Linked DNA regions of Coturnix japonica. The protein of the gene in region 1 binds, or shares a complex with, the protein of each later gene. Links are inferred from orthologs where the notes say so. Each region holds a gene or a part of one and is shown in the gene's direction. Other genes may lie near its edges.

What was found. The genes of interacting proteins can lie anywhere in the genome.
Region 2: BNIP1 (region 1) and BET1L share a complex: the UniProt entries of both Homo sapiens proteins name them as parts of the SNARE complex. The link is inferred for Coturnix japonica from reciprocal best matches to the Homo sapiens genes BNIP1 and BET1L.
Region 3: BNIP1 (region 1) and VTI1B share a complex: the UniProt entries of both Homo sapiens proteins name them as parts of the SNARE complex. The link is inferred for Coturnix japonica from reciprocal best matches to the Homo sapiens genes BNIP1 and VTI1B.
Region 4: BNIP1 (region 1) and STX18 share a complex: the UniProt entries of both Homo sapiens proteins name them as parts of the SNARE complex. The link is inferred for Coturnix japonica from reciprocal best matches to the Homo sapiens genes BNIP1 and STX18.

Annotation. Positions count from the first base shown.
Region 1 is NC_029528.1:11,061,596-11,065,795, forward strand, and holds the start of BNIP1 (vesicle transport protein SEC20), read left to right. Parts: upstream 1-1,400; 5' UTR 1,401-1,426; coding exon 1,427-1,534; intron 1,535-1,652; coding exon 1,653-1,960; intron 1,961-2,508; coding exon 2,509-2,610; intron 2,611-3,312; coding exon 3,313-3,431; intron 3,432-4,200. UniProt on the Homo sapiens protein: As part of a SNARE complex may be involved in endoplasmic reticulum membranes fusion and be required for the maintenance of endoplasmic reticulum organization. Also plays a role in apoptosis.
Region 2 is NC_029520.1:1,401,932-1,405,961, forward strand, and holds BET1L (BET1-like protein), read left to right. Parts: upstream 1-1,343; 5' UTR 1,344-1,467; coding exon 1,468-1,486; intron 1,487-1,627; coding exon 1,628-1,719; intron 1,720-2,063; coding exon 2,064-2,120; intron 2,121-2,819; coding exon 2,820-2,987; 3' UTR 2,988-3,530; downstream 3,531-4,030. Other genes in the region: RIC8A (synembryn-A), read right to left, coding at 944-1,027. UniProt on the Homo sapiens protein: Vesicle SNARE required for targeting and fusion of retrograde transport vesicles with the Golgi complex. Required for the integrity of the Golgi complex.
Region 3 is NC_029520.1:27,588,993-27,593,026, forward strand, and holds the start of VTI1B (vesicle transport through interaction with t-SNAREs homolog 1B), read left to right. Parts: upstream 1-1,234; 5' UTR 1,235-1,240; coding exon 1,241-1,574; intron 1,575-3,541; coding exon 3,542-3,600; intron 3,601-3,797; coding exon 3,798-3,989; intron 3,990-4,034. Other genes in the region: retinol dehydrogenase 12, read right to left, coding at 606-724, 1,093-1,187. UniProt on the Homo sapiens protein: V-SNARE that mediates vesicle transport pathways through interactions with t-SNAREs on the target membrane. These interactions are proposed to mediate aspects of the specificity of vesicle trafficking and to promote fusion of the lipid bilayers.
Region 4 is NC_029519.1:71,390,344-71,394,338, reverse strand, and holds the start of STX18 (syntaxin-18), read left to right. Parts: upstream 1-1,195; 5' UTR 1,196-1,257; coding exon 1,258-1,419; intron 1,420-3,995. UniProt on the Homo sapiens protein: Syntaxin that may be involved in targeting and fusion of Golgi-derived retrograde transport vesicles with the ER.

The DNA of each region.
Region 1 (4,200 bases):
GAAATAGCAGATGCCATTCTGTTCCTCTGACTTGCTTGCTAGTCTTCCTGAGGTTCTGTTGAGGCGTAACCAGTTGTGTACCATGAATGTTAGGGTCTGTGTTTGGCCTTGAGACCTGAATTTCAAGAATGCATCTAATCGTTGTTATTTCGGAGGCTTCAGTTGGACTTCCCGTGTTCAGTGTGCTGCTAGATGTGGTCTTGGCTTCCTGACACAGCCATGCACAGAGCTGAAATCTGTTTTGTTTACCCCAGGGATCGTGTGAAGTACATTTCAGTTACTGCTTTGGTGACTGATTCTTTTTGTAACTGTATTAAGGGCATTAGTACGTTGAGAAAACACCACTCTTGAATATCTCCCAATACAAATTGGGACTCCTACGTGTCGTTAATGAAAGATGGCACTTTTAGGCTCTATCTTCTTTGCAATATACAAAAGTATCTCAATCTCTGTCTGATTTCCATTTCACAACGTGCCGTGTTTTTCCCCAGTGCTCCTCACATGTAGCAAAGGCATGTGTGTGCATTGTTTTACAGCCCTCAGCCTCGTAGACATCCGTGAACTTCCACAGGACTAAATGCTGGCAGTGCATTTGTTGTCTTTCTAATGAGCAGAGGAGCTAAAAGTGGAACCAGAACTATCTTAAGCCACAATCTTTCTTCATAAAAATGAAAGGCTTTTTGGATAACACCAGTGTTCCAATGCTTCCCTGCGGGTAGTTGCTCATTCCATGTCTGGATAAGTCAAGTTTGGGTGTTTATCCATCTACAGGAAGGAAAACTTTCTGTGCTGGATTTTGTATTGACAAAAGCACAATCCACCCGAGGGAAAACCTCTCAATTAAGAACTGACCCCGGGAGTAGCATTTAATTGTACTGATCTTTCATATTGTACTTTCTCCTTTGAGAAGTGACCTCAAACTTCATTGTTCGGTATCTGTGCTCGGGTGAACACGAAGGCTGATGGCACGAGGGTGGAAAAGGCAAAACATGGCATCCTCCATCACTGGCTTCCAATGGGAGCTCAGAGAAACTCCATGAAAGTCGTGTCTCTGTTAGGAAATAAACTCTCCTGTTCAAAGCATGATCTGTTCAGAGCTGCGCTGTTAGATGTTGGTTAATAGCTGTGCGATCTTTATTTTTATTTTTATTTTATTGAAAAGAGGCACAATCCCACCATTGACTTTGTTCCCTGTTCCCCACACACCTCCTCGGTCCCTCGCAACTTCTATTCAGACTCAAAATTTCATCAATGTACGCGACATCCTTTGTAATTTAAAATAAAAATCGTGGAGGAAACACTGTCTGAAATCATCGCGTGTGTTTGTGTGTTGTGTTGTGGGATGGATCCTGTGGGGGCCTGAGGCCTTTCCTATTTCCACACACTGGATGACGGGCGGGCTGTGGGGGCCAGCAGGGGGCGCTCCATGTCCCGCCTTTCCATTCCCAAGATGGCGGCGGCCGGCTCGGTGCCTGTGCGGGTGTGTCACCAGGAGATCGTCAAATTCGACCTGGAGATCAAGGCGGCCGTGCAGGTAGAGCCGCCCTCGGAGCCCCCTTTAGACGAAGGAACCCTTCGGTGCGGGTTGCGAGGCTCCCGCTGCTTGGCCCTGCTTGCCACGTAGTGCTTTAGGCCGTGCCGTTGTCTTCCAGGATATCCGGGATTGCCCGGGGCCGCTCAGCGCCCTCACGGAGCTCAACGCTGCGGTGAAGGAGAAATTCCGGCACCTCCGAGGCCGCATCCAGGTGGGGTTGTGCTGCTTGAAGCCCCCCTGGGCTCCCCTCGGGGCCGCTGCAGCTCCGCTCCCTTCCCTTGGAGCTGCAGGTGGCAGCGGTCAGCCTGATATTATTCCCGTTTTTTTGTCCAAGGAGCTGGAACAGATGGCGAGGGAGCAAGATAAAGAGTCGGAGAAACAGGCCTTGCTGCAGGAAGTGGAGAACCATAAAAAGCAAATGCTCAGGTAGGCCGTGTTTTGTAGGCTGTGTTGTGTACAGGTGCACCCAGTCCTCAGAGGTAGCTGCCTTCAGGGTGCTCTTTCAGTTCCTCTTTAGCAGACCCAGTCAGTGACACGGTGCTGCCTTTATTAAGACCAAGAGCAGGTCCTGGCACAGGTTACCCAGAGAAGTGGTTGTTCCCCATCCCTGCAGACACCCAAGGTCAGAACTGGAGGGGCTCTAGAACTGTGGGAGTCCCTATTCATTGCAGGGGGTTGGACCAGATGGCTTTTAAAGGGCCCCTTCCAACCCAAGTGATTCTGTGATCAGGGACAGAAAGAGGAGGGCTCCCATCTCCTTCCTGGCTCTCTGAGCAGGTCTGTCCGTTTGAGTGACTAAGCCTGGAATGATACACTTAGGAAATGAAAGAACAACATACTGTCACTCAGTGGTATAATGCAGAGAAAGTCTATGTGCATACATGGATCTTAGTTATGGTGACTGCTCTGTGAAAGTGATTTCTGCTTACAGGGTGTTGCCATCGCACTGCAACATTGTGCTCTTGTGATTTCAGCAATCAGGCAGCTTGGAGAAAAGCAAATCTGGCTTGCAAAATCGCTATCGACAACTCTGAGAAAGATCAGCTGCTGCAGGGAAGAGACTCCTTAAGACAAAGGTATTAAAGTGTCCCCTTGAATGATGTGAGACTTAAACAATGTTGCCATACTCACTAGTACCAATGAAAGCAATGTGATGTGCTTGAAGTGATTGGATTGTACTCAGAAAGTAGCTTTTATAGCTTTTATTGTAATGGAATGCTGTTGTCTAATTATGAAGGCTTAAACTGTGAAGAATTGTCATAATTCCAGGGCTTTTTTAGTGTTTGCATGTCAAAGCAGAGGTGAAATTGTGGTAGGCCTCATAACTTTTGTGATTTTCTTTTTTATTAATTCCTGCCAGGGTCATAAGCAAGTAGTGGATCACTGTGCAAGTTGTTTTCCTTTGTAGATGTGGATATAAGTTTGTATAACTCCTGAATGGAGAAGTTGACAAGGTTGGTGTTGTGGAGCAGCAAGGAGGATAGCTGAGGAGATGAAATGGTAGTTTGTATCAGTGCTTCCATGTCACCTTATGAAGCTGTGCCATCGTGGCTGAATGACTGCTACAGCATGAGCTCTGTGAGACTCTGAGCCGCAGTTGTTCAGGTTGATGGCTTCAGTAATTGGTGATTTCTCTTCAGTAGTTCAGCAAAGATTATCTCCAGTTCTCATGCAGTAAAACTTGCTTGTATCTTTTGTACACAGAGCACAGCTGCGCGTTCCTGCTGTACCAAAGACACTGTTCTATCCCTGAGTGTTTTCTTCTTTTGCTTTTTCAGGAAGACTACAAAGGAAAGTCTGGCAGAAAGTGCAAGTAACATCACGGAGAGTCTGATGAGCATCAGTAGGATGATGTCACAGCAAGTCCAGCAGAGCGAGGAGACTGTGCAGACCCTGGGTACAGATGGAGCTGGGCTTTGGGGTGTGGGTTGCATGGCTGAAGAACCTTTCAACTGTTCTGTTAGGGTGAGGGGAGCCAAGCTGTCATGATGCAGAGCATGGTGGAAATACACATTGCATTAGGAGAGCTTGCTCTGATGGTAATTCAGGGGTTGTTCAGCAGATCTCCTCTAACATTTGAACAGAAATACTGTTGTATGTTGCATGAAGTTTTTTTTGCTGGAGTTCTTGTTTAATGTTTGTAGAACTCAATTTTATATGAAAGCAGTTGTGGAAGGGGTGTGAATTCTCACAGAGTTAGCAGTGTGTATGATATTACTCTGTGCTACTGTCCTGACATGCGTTTGGCAACAGAGGAGTAAAGAGCACAGGTACAAGTCCATATGTAGAGAAAACAGTCTGAGTAGGAAGGCTGTTTTCACCCCGTCTCCAGCTGGGATGACTAAGAGACAAGGCAGTTGAGTGACTTGAACCCGAGGTCACTTGTTCTGTCCGCTGTGCATCAGGGACTGTGAAACCAAGACTTTAGTCAGTTATTTGGCTTAGACTCCTAAGAAGATAAATCAAGTGACCTCTCAAAATCAGTGATTCATGAACCATTTGGCTCTCTGTACTCTTGGCCTCTCACTAGCTGTGCTGTTGAGCAGAAGAGAGAGCAGTGTAAGGGCTGGGATCAATGCCACAACCTTCACCCTCTTCTGGGGGTTTCCTGACCCCATCTGAGGATGGCAGCTGGGCCCAGTTTGTTCATACAAAAGTAGCATGTT
Region 2 (4,030 bases), on another chromosome or scaffold:
CCTATGCTCTACACGCTGACAAAGAAACCAGCTGGAGGAATTCAAAGCATTGGATTTAGTGCCTCAACACGGTTGCACAACAAATGCCATTTACTATCCTAATTTCTCCAGCACACCAGCTGCTGCCAGCAACGCTAATCCTGCAGACCAACCTTTTAAAAGGGACCTGCTGTTTCAAAACCGACTGCTGGAAACAGTTAGTGCAGGAAGGGAAGTGCACATGCTTGTAAGATAAGCACAGGTTTTCCCCACCAGCTTCCCTCCTACTTCAGAATGGTGCAGAATGAGTCACAGATCTGCAGGGCCAGCCCTAGCCTGGTGGAAACCCTCTGAAGGAAATTTCCCTGGCAGACAGTTTCAAAAGGGAACTACCCCTGCAGATGATCTAAGGTTAGAGTCACTCGCACTTCAGCTTCCTGACCCGGTCTTTTTCATGTTCTACACTCATTATTTCATGCGCCAGCTTTCAGATCAGGCACCCTAATCCAATCCCAGCATCCATTCACACCAACTCCTAATTGTCTTTTGCTTACAAATCACAACAATCCTACCTGCAGCTCCTCCCTAGGTGTGAGTTTTATTACCTCCAAACCTTGCCTAGCATCAAGGCTCCTCCTACTCCTCATGCCCATGATTATTCCCCTACCGGGTTTAACTTGCAATCTGGATAATAAAGAAAATCCTTCCCATGTACTTTTCTTCCAGCATAAACAAGATAAAGGGAGGCTTCTTAGCTGCTTCCTAGTAAAGCATCATTAAGAAGCAGCTTGCAAGTAACAAAACAAAGCAGTCTATGACATCTCCAGGGCAATAATGCAGAGACAGATGCTCAGAGGAGATGGGATAGCTGGGCAGCACTGTGAACCCATAACACGGCCCAACCTGCTTCCAGGCTTGCTGACAGCAGCAGGTGACATCAGGCTGAGGTGTGATGCTCACTCACCTCCTGGTTGTAGATCTGAAGCACCTTGAGGACCGCGTCTTGCTCCCCGCTTTCCACCGTGGCCACTACGGTCCTGAGCTCCATGATACCAACAGCTCAGCTACAGCAGGATGGGAAGCAGAGAGGAAAGGCTTCCAGAGCTCCTGGATAACAGCGGTGCAAAGGGACCTCGATCCTTGAGAACTGAGAGGCAGTGAGAAAGGGGGTGGGGAAAAAGAAACAAAAATCAAGCGAGCCGGCTCACTGCTGCGTCCATAAAGCAGACGGGTGAACCACGTACAGCCTCTCTGCCCCTCTAATCCTCTTCTTTCCTCTTTGCTTTCCGACGTTTAATGCATGCCCTCCCAGCACAGCGCTGGGACACCCCCCCCTCCCCACCCGAGGATTACCGCAGCAGATCACGGTGCTTCCCGTAATAGCTCCCCGCTCCTCACTACCCAACAGGGAAGGCGAAGGCCCAGCGGCCATTTTACAGAGGCGGAGCTCCTCCTGCCGGGCGGAGCCGCCTTTCGCCGTGTGCCGCCATGGCGGACTGGGGGCGAGGTGAGGGGGAAGGAGTGAGGGGCGCGCTGAGGGGCTGCTAAAGGGGGCGCCCCGCCGCCATCTTGGGGCACCCCGCCGCCATCTTGGGGATGTGCCATGCTCCCCAGTCGGGATGATGAGACGCGTTTCTTTTCTCCTCAGGACAGAATGCGGTTGCTATGGAGGATATGCTGGACGTGGAGAACAAGCGCATGACAGACAACCTGGCCAGCAAAGTCACCAGGCTGAAGTCGGTGAGTTGCTGGCGCTGCTATGGACGCTTGCAGGGTCTCAGGGACAACGCAGTTGTGTGGGCTTCCTCAGTGCTGTGGGCATACGATGGCTGACGTGTAGCAGTAGGAGGCAGTGCTGGTCCGTCAGCTGTTGTCATATGTCCAACATAGGGAAGTTTCTGCCAGCTTTCCCAGATTATTTCCACAGCAAAAGGATTCCCACAACCCCAAACTGCAGTGAGTGAGAGGCCTTGTTTTGTGGCTGTGCTTAACAAACCTCCACCACATCCTCTAGTGTGGGCCTAGATGCGTTCCAGGTTGTCTTGGTGTTCATTAACGTCAATTTCCTCTCTTATGCTGTGTAGCTGGCTCTGGATATTGATAAAGATGCTGATGAACAGAACCGTTACCTGGATAGCATGGTAAGGAACCAAAAAAGAAGGGTAAAAAGCATGAATTTCAATGTTGGGACCAGTTTGGTCAAAGGTGGGAGCTTGGAAGCTTAATAGCTTGGAACCTTAATAGCAGTGTATGGCCTTGGAGTATCTGAACTGGATATTTGTTCAGCCTAGAAATCAAAAGAGTGGAGAGTTGGAATGAGAGATGTAAAGACAAGAGATCTTAAAGGAGAAGCCCCGAATCAGCACGCAATTGTGCTTCTATTAGAGAAGATTTAGGGATATTTCAGGAGAAACGTGAGCAAAAAGTGGGAGGTAGTTTATGAGAAAGGAAAACAGACGTGGAGTCGAAATGATAATGAATTGCTTTAAGACTTGTTTGCTGCCACCTGGTGGTGTTACAAGTGTATGCTGCCCCATGCTGAAAGAAAAAAAAGAGAACTAATGGAAAGAAACTGCGTGGTTTTGGTGCTTTTTAGCCTGCCCTGGCAGGCATTAACGGTGCTAGCTTTATGTAGAGATACTTGGTATGCAGTATTTACCTGTGCCTTTGCCACGAGCGCAGGCAGGGAAGTTCCTCATAAGAGAGACACGATAGGTACAGAGATACAGGCAGTTACAGCGCAGCTGCTGCAGTTGTTCTTTAAGCAGGAAGCTGGACCCTCCTCATGGGCTGCCTCTCCAGTTTGAAATGCTGCTTTTTGCACTTTGTTTCTCCTCTAGGATTCGGATTTTCTGAGTGCTACTGGGCTGCTGACCGGCAGCATGAAGCGATTCAGCACCATGACACGCTCTGGGAGGGAGAACCGCAAGTTACTCTGCTTTGTTTCTGTAGGACTGGTTGTTGTTTTCTTCATCCTCTACTATCTTGTGTCCAAAGCTGGGACTTGATCTTGGTTCTTGCGTAGTTTTACTGAACTAAATCAATGTGATTGACAGACTTGTTCAGCGCCTTTCTAGATCTGCCCTGCTTTGGGATCCTTGGGACTTCCCAACAGACATTCCAGATAACTTTTAACCAGTGTTTTGTCACCATTCTGGCTGGTCTTGGAGGTAAAATGAGTATTTCACTGACAGCACATCCACCAGGCTGCTCTGGATGACACATCCCACCGCACATATAGACCCTGCAGCACCCAGACCTGGAAGAGCTCAGTCAGCCCCTGGGTGATGCCACTGTTGTTCAGCTCCTGCAGCATCACATCTGTCACCTTTCCTTGGCAGCTGCCTGCCCTGCAAAGACCATTCTAACTGGATTTCCACATATCACCTGATTTTGATGTTCATGCCTATATCTCTCGTCTCATCCATGTCTTGCAGCCAGTTCTTAAGGGATACTTTTGTCTTACCTCCATTACTAATACCTGGCATATCTGACAAATCCAGATGGTTATCAATACAGGTTTAATAAATCAGAGGTTTGGAAGCTGCAAAGTTTAGGCTGTAATGATTTATAAACTTTGGAATGATCAATGTGTGACTTAATCCAGCATGACCCCAATAAACGTGTGCCTGGGCTGGGTATGCCCTCATCCCCCTACTACCTAGCAGGAACTCAGGTGTTCAAGTGCTCCTCTGCACCCAACCCATAGGGCCCCATACATTCCCACCCCCAGGCATTCAAACACAGGGACAAGGCTTAACTTGCATGCATTTAATTTATTGTCCTCAACTGTGACACATGGGCTGCGTGCAGCATGTCCCTAGTGCAGGGGGATGTCACCAAGGGAATGGAATGATGTGACACGTCATGGGGGCTGCAGGGACAACATGGGATTGGCATCGATCACTGGGGTGGGGAGAGACTGTGGGGTATAATTGGGGCTGGGAGGGGAACACAGGGTGACCTTACAAGGTGCGGTATGTCTGTATATATGTGGGAACACATGGGATGCCCCTAAATACACAAGGTAAAAGCCTGTCTTTGTGGCAGG
Region 3 (4,034 bases), on another chromosome or scaffold:
CTATGGAACTGACTTCAGTCCAGGGGAGCAGCTGACAAGCACAACAACTCTTGTTGTAGATTGTTAGCTCCAAGCCAGCTCAGACCTGTTTTATGACAGGGAGATTGCACATCTGAAGTGCCTCTGTCCAGCTTCTCCCAGGTGAGGTGAGTGCACTGCAGCCCTGGTATGACCAGGTTGTATTTGTGGCTGTATGGGAGCACTAGGGCCTACACACGCAGGGTTGCTTGGACTCCAGCCAGAGCCATTGCTGGGTACTTTCACTGCCCTGCTAGTTACCAAAAAACATTTAAGCCAGTTTTGAACCATGAGCGGATCTGAGCCATTTCCCATCCCCAAACAAGGTAGAGCCCTGTGACTCCAGGCACTTCCTTGGTCCTCCCGAGGTGGCCACAGCGCTGAGTATTTCTACACGCTGAGACACGGGGTCAGGGTTCAAGCAGTGAATGCAGCTGGGAACTGGGGAACTGCACCTCAGGGGTTACAGCCCTGTCTGAAGGACCTTCAGAATGTGGCTCTTAGAAACACGGCCCCAGGCTGCAGACCACGACGCGTGGTGCCGGATCGCATCAGCCGCACCCGCTCGCAGCGTGACGCCGACTTGCCTCTCCGGGCGAGCTCCCTGGCGGTCTCTTTGCCGATGCCGGTGTTGGCGCCCGTGATCACCGCCACCTTCCCGTCCAGCCTGGCCGCGGACCCGCAGCGCCCTCCGGCCACGTACCGCCTGCAAGAGAGCGGCGGGACTCGACGGCGGCTCCGAGCCCGACATCGGACCGGGCACCGCGACACCCCGCTCCGCCCGCTCCGCCCGCTCCGGTGGGGCCACGGCTGCCATTGGCTGACAGCGCGGCTCCCGGCGCGGCGGCCAATGGAGTCGGCGCGGCGCCGTGGGGCGAACCCGGGCCACCGGCTCCCACCGCCCCGTGCTCGGCTGAGCCGGACCCCCCGCGGGAGCGGCTCGAGCCGGCTGCCGCCAACCGCACACCGCCGTAACAGCGCTGCCCGAAAGCCCTTTGTATGTCTCCAACCCCCAGAAAGGAGCCGCTTAGCCCGGCGGCACGGAGCCCCCCGAGGCGCCCCACAGCCCCGCACCTGACGTAGGGCGCCGCCGCCAGCAGCACGAGGGGCACGGACACGGCGGCGCCCAGCACCGCGCCCCAGCAGCTCAGCATCGCCGACGGCTCCATCCGCGCCGCGTCCGCCCCGCACTGATCGCGCCCGGAGGAGCCGCCCCGCCCCAATGGGAGCAATGGGCGGTGCAGGGCGGGGCGGGGCGGAGCACCACGAGGCGGCGCTGCGACTACGGCTCCCAGCGGGCAGCGCGCCGCCAGGACCCCGCTCCGCCTGGGCTGCCCCGGTGCCGCGGTCAGGCAGCGCGGGGCGTCTCATTGCGCAGGCGCGGGTCCTCGCGGCCGATGGCGGAAGCGGCGCCGGGCAGTGCCCCGTACGGCCCATCGCCATGGCGGAGCGCGGCCCCGCGTCCTCCGAGCACCTGGAGCGGCTGCACGAGATCTTCCGCGGGCTGCACGGGGAGCTGCGCGCCGTGCCGGAGCGGCTGCGGGGCGGCGCGGCGGGTGAGGCGGGGCGGATCCGGCTCGGCGCTTTCGTCGGGTTCGCGGAGGTTTCTCCCGCAGCGCGGCGAGGCCCCGCGGTCCGGCCCGGCGCTGCCCGAGCCGAGGGGCTCGTTTGGCTCCGCTCCCGGCGCACAGCGCTCGGCTGTGGCGTAGCGGAGAACGGGAAGTGGGCGCGGAGGCGGGGAAGCACCGGCTGGGTGTGAGGGGTGCGGTGTCCGGGCTGCCCGGTTCAGTCTAATACCGGGTTAAATGCAGGGTCACCATCCTATTCGTTTCCAGAAAGTACAGTGGGAGGCACTTAAAACTATGGGCCGCAGCTTTCAAGGCCAGAAGGCAGAGCAGGCTGCTCACAGAAGCTGTGGAGTCTCCTCCAGTGATATTCAGGACCCTCCTGGATGCTTTCCTTGGTGACCTGCAGGGAACTGGCTTTAACAGTGGGTTGGACAGGGTGATCCCCTGGGGTCCTTTCCAAACCCTGCAGTTCTGTGATTCAAAGCTGCCTTTGTTTTATTGACAGTCACCAAGAAGGAAAAGCATAAAGGAAGGGATGCCCCTTTGTGAAGAAGGGCCCTGGAATCTGGGCATCGTTTCTATACAATTAATGGGAGGAGGTTGCAGGGTAGGGTGAGGGTTATTTTGCTGCCTTGAAATACAAACTCAACCCTGTTGCTGGGGAAAGAATGGGGAGAGACCGTGCTCACACATATTGAAAAATGCCCCACAACGCTTGAATTTCAAAGAACAGAAATTTCCTTGCAGAAAGGAGGGTTGTCAGTTTTGTGGACAAAAGTAAACTATTGCCAGGTCCCCAGATCTGTGATATTCCCAAGGAAGTATAACAAGGGAGTTCATGTGAAGTCAGGAATTTATCTCTCTTTTGAAGGCATTTGTAAGGCATTCTTTGCTGTCCATGCCCACATGGGTCTTCATTTTTCACACTGTCATGAAAAGTCTGTGGGACAACAGATGGTGTCCTGTGTACTCCTTTGAGATGATTGGTAACTTCCCAGACTGCAGGGAGGACAAAATGTGTCATTGTTGGACCATCTTCCATGTGGAAATGTTATCTTACAAGCTAATAAATTCTCAGGTCTGGAAGCAAGTGTTTTCTTCCTTCCAAACCTATAAGAAAGCATTTTAAATGGCATTGATCAGTTTCTGCTATAGATCCCATTCTCTGAGTAAACAGTTAACTGCCTTTTTCAACTGATTGTTTTTCGGTTGGTTTAAATGAGATCTCACAGATGCTGAGAAACATGTGGGTAATGTTTCTGTGGCTGAAGTGCAGTGCTGTACTGATCCAATTGTGGGCACCCAAAGAGGGTAAAATACTGCTTTTTCAGCACTGCTTCGGGTTTCAATGGGTTCGAGACAGCAGCAGTTGTTCTAAGAGGGCACTACATTCACCAAAGGAGTGGAGTGTCCTGCGTGAGCAGAATGGTGACTTTAGAAAGTTGTTTCCTTGCTGTGTGTGCCCGTGTCCTTGCTAGCAGCCTGGCTGTTCAAGCAGTTGAATCAGCACAAATGTACGTGGCAGAAAAGCAGGGGAGGAGCTGAGGATAGTCAATGTAGGAACCCCATAAATCAGCATTTCCTGCAGCGCTAAACTTATGTTTAAACTTATCTATCTTAAGTGCACTACAAGTCAAACTCAGGGGCTTAATGGGGATTTGAACTGAAAGGGAAGGGCCCTGGTGTGGCCACGGCACATCCATAAGATGAGCTGGTTTTAGGTGTTTTGATCTAACATCCAGTGTGGTTCCAGAAAAGAGAAGTATTTGGACAACCTGATCTGGTGTATTGATGGTGTCTTCCATCTCAGAGCTCTGCAGGGTGCTTGTCTTATTTGAGTGGTTGTTTTTAGTGAACTGCTAGGATGCAAAAACCCGATTTGCTGGAAATCAGGATTTCAAGTTCTGCTTTAGTTTTGTTGGGGTTTATCTCACGTGTTGCTCTTTCTTGTGCAGAGGAGAAGAAAAAGCTGATTCGGGAGTTTGATGAGAAGCAGCGTGAAGCAAATGAAACGGTAAGTTTAAGCCTGGAATTGTGGCCTTTCTGGCCACTTAATATGTTGATTGCCCTAGAAAGGACAGTATCCCAAGTTTTACTTTAATGTTCTTATGTGAACATAATATGTGAATCCCTTCATCTAGTGTAAGTTCTGGGTACAGCTGTTTATAAGAATGAATGTGATGCTTTAAAATAAGTGTTCTTTTCTTTAAGCTCCGGGAAATGGAAGAAGAACTGAAGTATGCTCCTCTACCATTCCGCAATCAAATGATGAGCAAAATCCGGGCATACAGAAGGGACCTCTCCATGTTCCAGAGGGAGATGAGAAGCACAGATTTGGGACTGGGCCCTGGAAGTCAAGGGGATATGAAATACGGAATCTTTTCCACAGAAAATGAACAGAGTGTGAGCATCTGATAGAAACTGTATTTAAAGCTTCTGTGATTATGA
Region 4 (3,995 bases), on another chromosome or scaffold:
AAGTCTGTGGGATCCTAAAGTATAATATAGCATACACTCACTACCACCACTAGTTATTTGGTCAGAAGTTTTCACTGCTGTGCCACACAGTTTCCTTTCCAGTCACTTATCTTCTGCACAGCACATGGTAATGAAATTGCCACAACTAAAATAATAGCAAAGGGTATTTCAGAAAGCTTTCCTCTGATTCAGTCAAATTAATAATAGCTGTGCATTGTAGCTCCCTGCAGGGTTTGTCCTTGGAGTACCAGTGATACTGACCAAATGTGGAATGGCAGTAGATCTCAAGGGCCTTAACAGGCACAGAAATCACTACACACATTACAGGTGTATTGAAGTTGTTCTATCTATTGTGTTCAAGAAGAAACATAGCACTCCAGAGAGACCCAGAAAGACTCAAGCTGTGGGCCTACATGAACACATGAGGACAGGCTGAGAGAGCTGGGGCTGTTCAGCCTATAGAAGAGAAGGCCCTGGGGGAGACCTGAGGGTGGCCTGTCAGTATCTAAATGGGAGCTGTAAGAAAGGAGACAGACTCTTTAGCAGTATCTGTTGTGAAAGAACAAGGGGAAATGATTTCAAACTAAAATAAGGGAGATTTAGATTGGATATAGGGAAAAAATCTTTTACAGTGAGGGTGGTCAGGCACTGGTAGAGGTTGCCCAGAAATGTGGTGGCTGTCCCATCCCTGGGGACACTTAAGCTCAGGCTGGAACAGGCTCTGAGCAACTTGATGGAGCTGTAGGTGTCTCTGTTCATTGCAGGGGAGCTGGACTAGATGGCCTTTAAGGGTCCTTTCCAACCTCAATGATTCTATGAAATAACCAATAATCAATATATTAATACACGTACGGCCATCTCCAATGGAAATTTCACAGCAGCACAAAACCCATCCCCTGGTGCAAACCTGCTGAAGCCCATTAATCAACTCCAATTAACCCTTCTTTCCTAGACTGAATTCCAAGGCCGACGGCTTGGATGACTCTGTCTAACAGCACCACCTGGTGACACCTGCCGCGACACCACAGCTCGGCGATCCACACGTCAGAATTTGGCTGGAATATAGATTTTATTCCTCAATCTTTCGCTCCGCGATGGGAGGCAGCAGAGCAGGATCCCCGCACAGCAACACCGCGATGCTCCCTTCCCACCGCACCCATCCCTGGAGCCGACCGAGCGGAACGCGCTGCGCGGGGCCGCGTTGCTCGGGGAAGGCAAAACGCGGAGGCACCGGTGGACGGGGCCGGGCTGGCCGCCATGGCGGTGGACATCACCCTGCTCTTCAAAGCCAGCGTGAAGACGGTGAAGACCCGCAATAAGGCGCTGGGGGTGGCGGCTGGCGACAGCGCTCGGGATGAGCTGCTCAAGCGCAGCGCTGCCCGCTCTAGGAGCGACTTCACCGGGCGGGCACGGGAGGTGGTGAGTGCGGGCAGCGGGCGGCCGGGGCAGGGGGAAGGCGGCGGGCAGCCCTCCCCGGGGAGCCGGGGCGAGAGAGTGGCTCCTGAAGGGCCGCAGAGAGAGTCGGGGCAGCGCTGGCCCCAGGCGGATGTGGGCCGGGAGCCGGAGCTGATGTGGCGGCCGGAGGGATCCCAGCCCCACCCCCCGCACCCGGCTCCCGTAACTCCAGGCTGGGGATCCGGGCTTCCATGGCCGCGTCCCCTCGGTGCCCACGAGCCCTGGGCTGCCATGTAGGTCGGCTCCGGAACGAGTGGGCGAGTCTTTGTAGTGCCGAGTTGTGCCTTATTGCACATCTGTTTCTTGTGTCACACGGTATGGCGGGTCCGTATATGCCGGGTCCGTATGAACTGGGGTGTCATACAGCTTGGAGAGACAAGCACTGAGAGGCGAAGGAATTGCTGAATTGGAGGCTGATCAGCGTTAATAATATTACTAAGTATGATTGTAAACTTGTTGCAGGTTCTTTACCCCCGTACTGAGCAAAGGGTGCGGAGGGGGGATAGTGGTGTCAGAGCACGGTTTGAGTAAGGCCCTTAATCAGGCACTGGAATGCACATTGGAGGGGTTCAAGGCCAGGTTGGCTGGGCTGCCTGCTCAAGTGGGTGTCAGCCCTGCCCATGGATGGGGAGGGGATTGGAGCTGGGTGATCTTTAAGGTCTCTTCCAACCTAAGGCATTCTGTGATTTGGAAAAGCTGGGAGGAACAGCCTGCTCAGTGTGCTCTGTGATTCTCTATGAGGAGACAGACTTCCAGAACACACGTGCTAGTGTAGGGCTGAGCAAGGGATGGCAAGGAACCTTTGGCCCTTAAGAAACCAATGATACAGTGATGGACGTTCCATTGCTTCACATTTATGAAATGCTGTTAGAATTTACTGTTTGGGTATTAGTGCATTTTGGTCAACAAAAACAATTTTGGTTATTGTCCTTGGACTAATAGTTTGACAGAACAATTTTGCATTCAGTGAATGTGGGTATTAAAGATTGTTTCAATCACACTTCTATAGACTTGCATAATAACTTGGTTTTGGTATCTGATTTGATACCAATATATAACCAGTACAGATATCACATAGGACCAGCTTATGTGACACTTGTTCTCAGCTTTACCGTAGTCTTATACCAACAGGTTGGCACTTGCACTGTCTTAGACAATCTTATTTAAGCCATCTGCTTTACTTTTTATGGCAAGTACAAGCTATTAGGAAGATCATCTGTCAAATATATACTTATTTGAGAATATTGAAGGGATGAGATTTAATCACTGCTGACTGTTCAGTATGTGTTACAGAAATGAAATTAAGGTTGATACTGCTTATTAAGAGAAATGCAATGAGTGGCAAAGCTGAATCTCACAACGGGCTTGATTCCAACCAAAAGTTATTACTTTTTTTTTTTTCTGTTTTGTTAGGGAGATTATCTGGTTTTTAATGTTCTTGCAAACAGCTAGAAAATTTAAGTGCTACAAGTTAAATTCTTCAAAAGCAGTATCTGAAAGCATGTCCTTGAGAAGGGAAAATTTGAAAGGTTAATAGTTTCTGAGCCTTTAAATGCAGGATTTCAGAATGATAGAATGTCTGTGATTGAAGCTGTTGAACGCGTAAGAATGCCAGATTCGTGGGGCTACAACATCTGTTCTTCATATAACTTCTTTCTCTGTATTCTGTAGAATGATCAATTCTTTTATATTTTATTTCATTTTTTAGTCCATATAATAGGCCCATATTCACATCAAGAATATGTTTGGTTGTGCTGTTTCGTCCTCTATAATGAGCAGGAAAAATCCCCATGTTCAAGTTAGTGGCTTCAGAACACAGTGAATTACATCTGAGTTTTTAGAAGACCAAGAAATATTCAAAATGCTAAAAACAGTGGAGAAAAATGTGGTGCCTACTAGCCTGGTCCCTACTAGCAACTAACACACAGCCCCAGTTATAGCACTGTTTAATTTGCCTTTACATGTGAAAAGGAGACAGTCAAGTGAAAGCTGGGTCTGCTTTGTTCTCTTGCCAGAGAAACCAGAATGTCAGTATTAGCACTCAGACTTTTTTCAGTTATACAAACATCTTTAATAATCCAACAATATTGTATTTTTCAAGACCACCTGCCAATTTCCAGTTAATTACTGGATCAAGTATTCCTTCTTTTCTTGTTGAAAATGTCAGTTAAAAAAATAAAATAACCCGAATCAAAGAATCACCAAGATTGGAAAAGACCTGCTTACTGTATTAACCTTTTTAATAGGATAGGACATGCAGTTGCCAGGTCTAGAATAGCCCTGAATAAAACCTCAATAAAACCTGAATATGGCCTCAAGTTGCACCAGGGCAAGTTTAGGTTGGATATTAGGAAGCACTTCTTTACAGAGAGGGTATTTAAGTACTGGAATAGGCTCCCCAGGGAGGAGGTTGAATTGCCATCCTTGGATGTGTTTAAGAGCCGTTTGGATATGGTGCTCAGGGATATGATTTAGCAAAGGGTTGTTAGAGTTAGGGTACTATGGTTAGGCTGCTGTTGGACTTGATCTTCAAGGTCTTT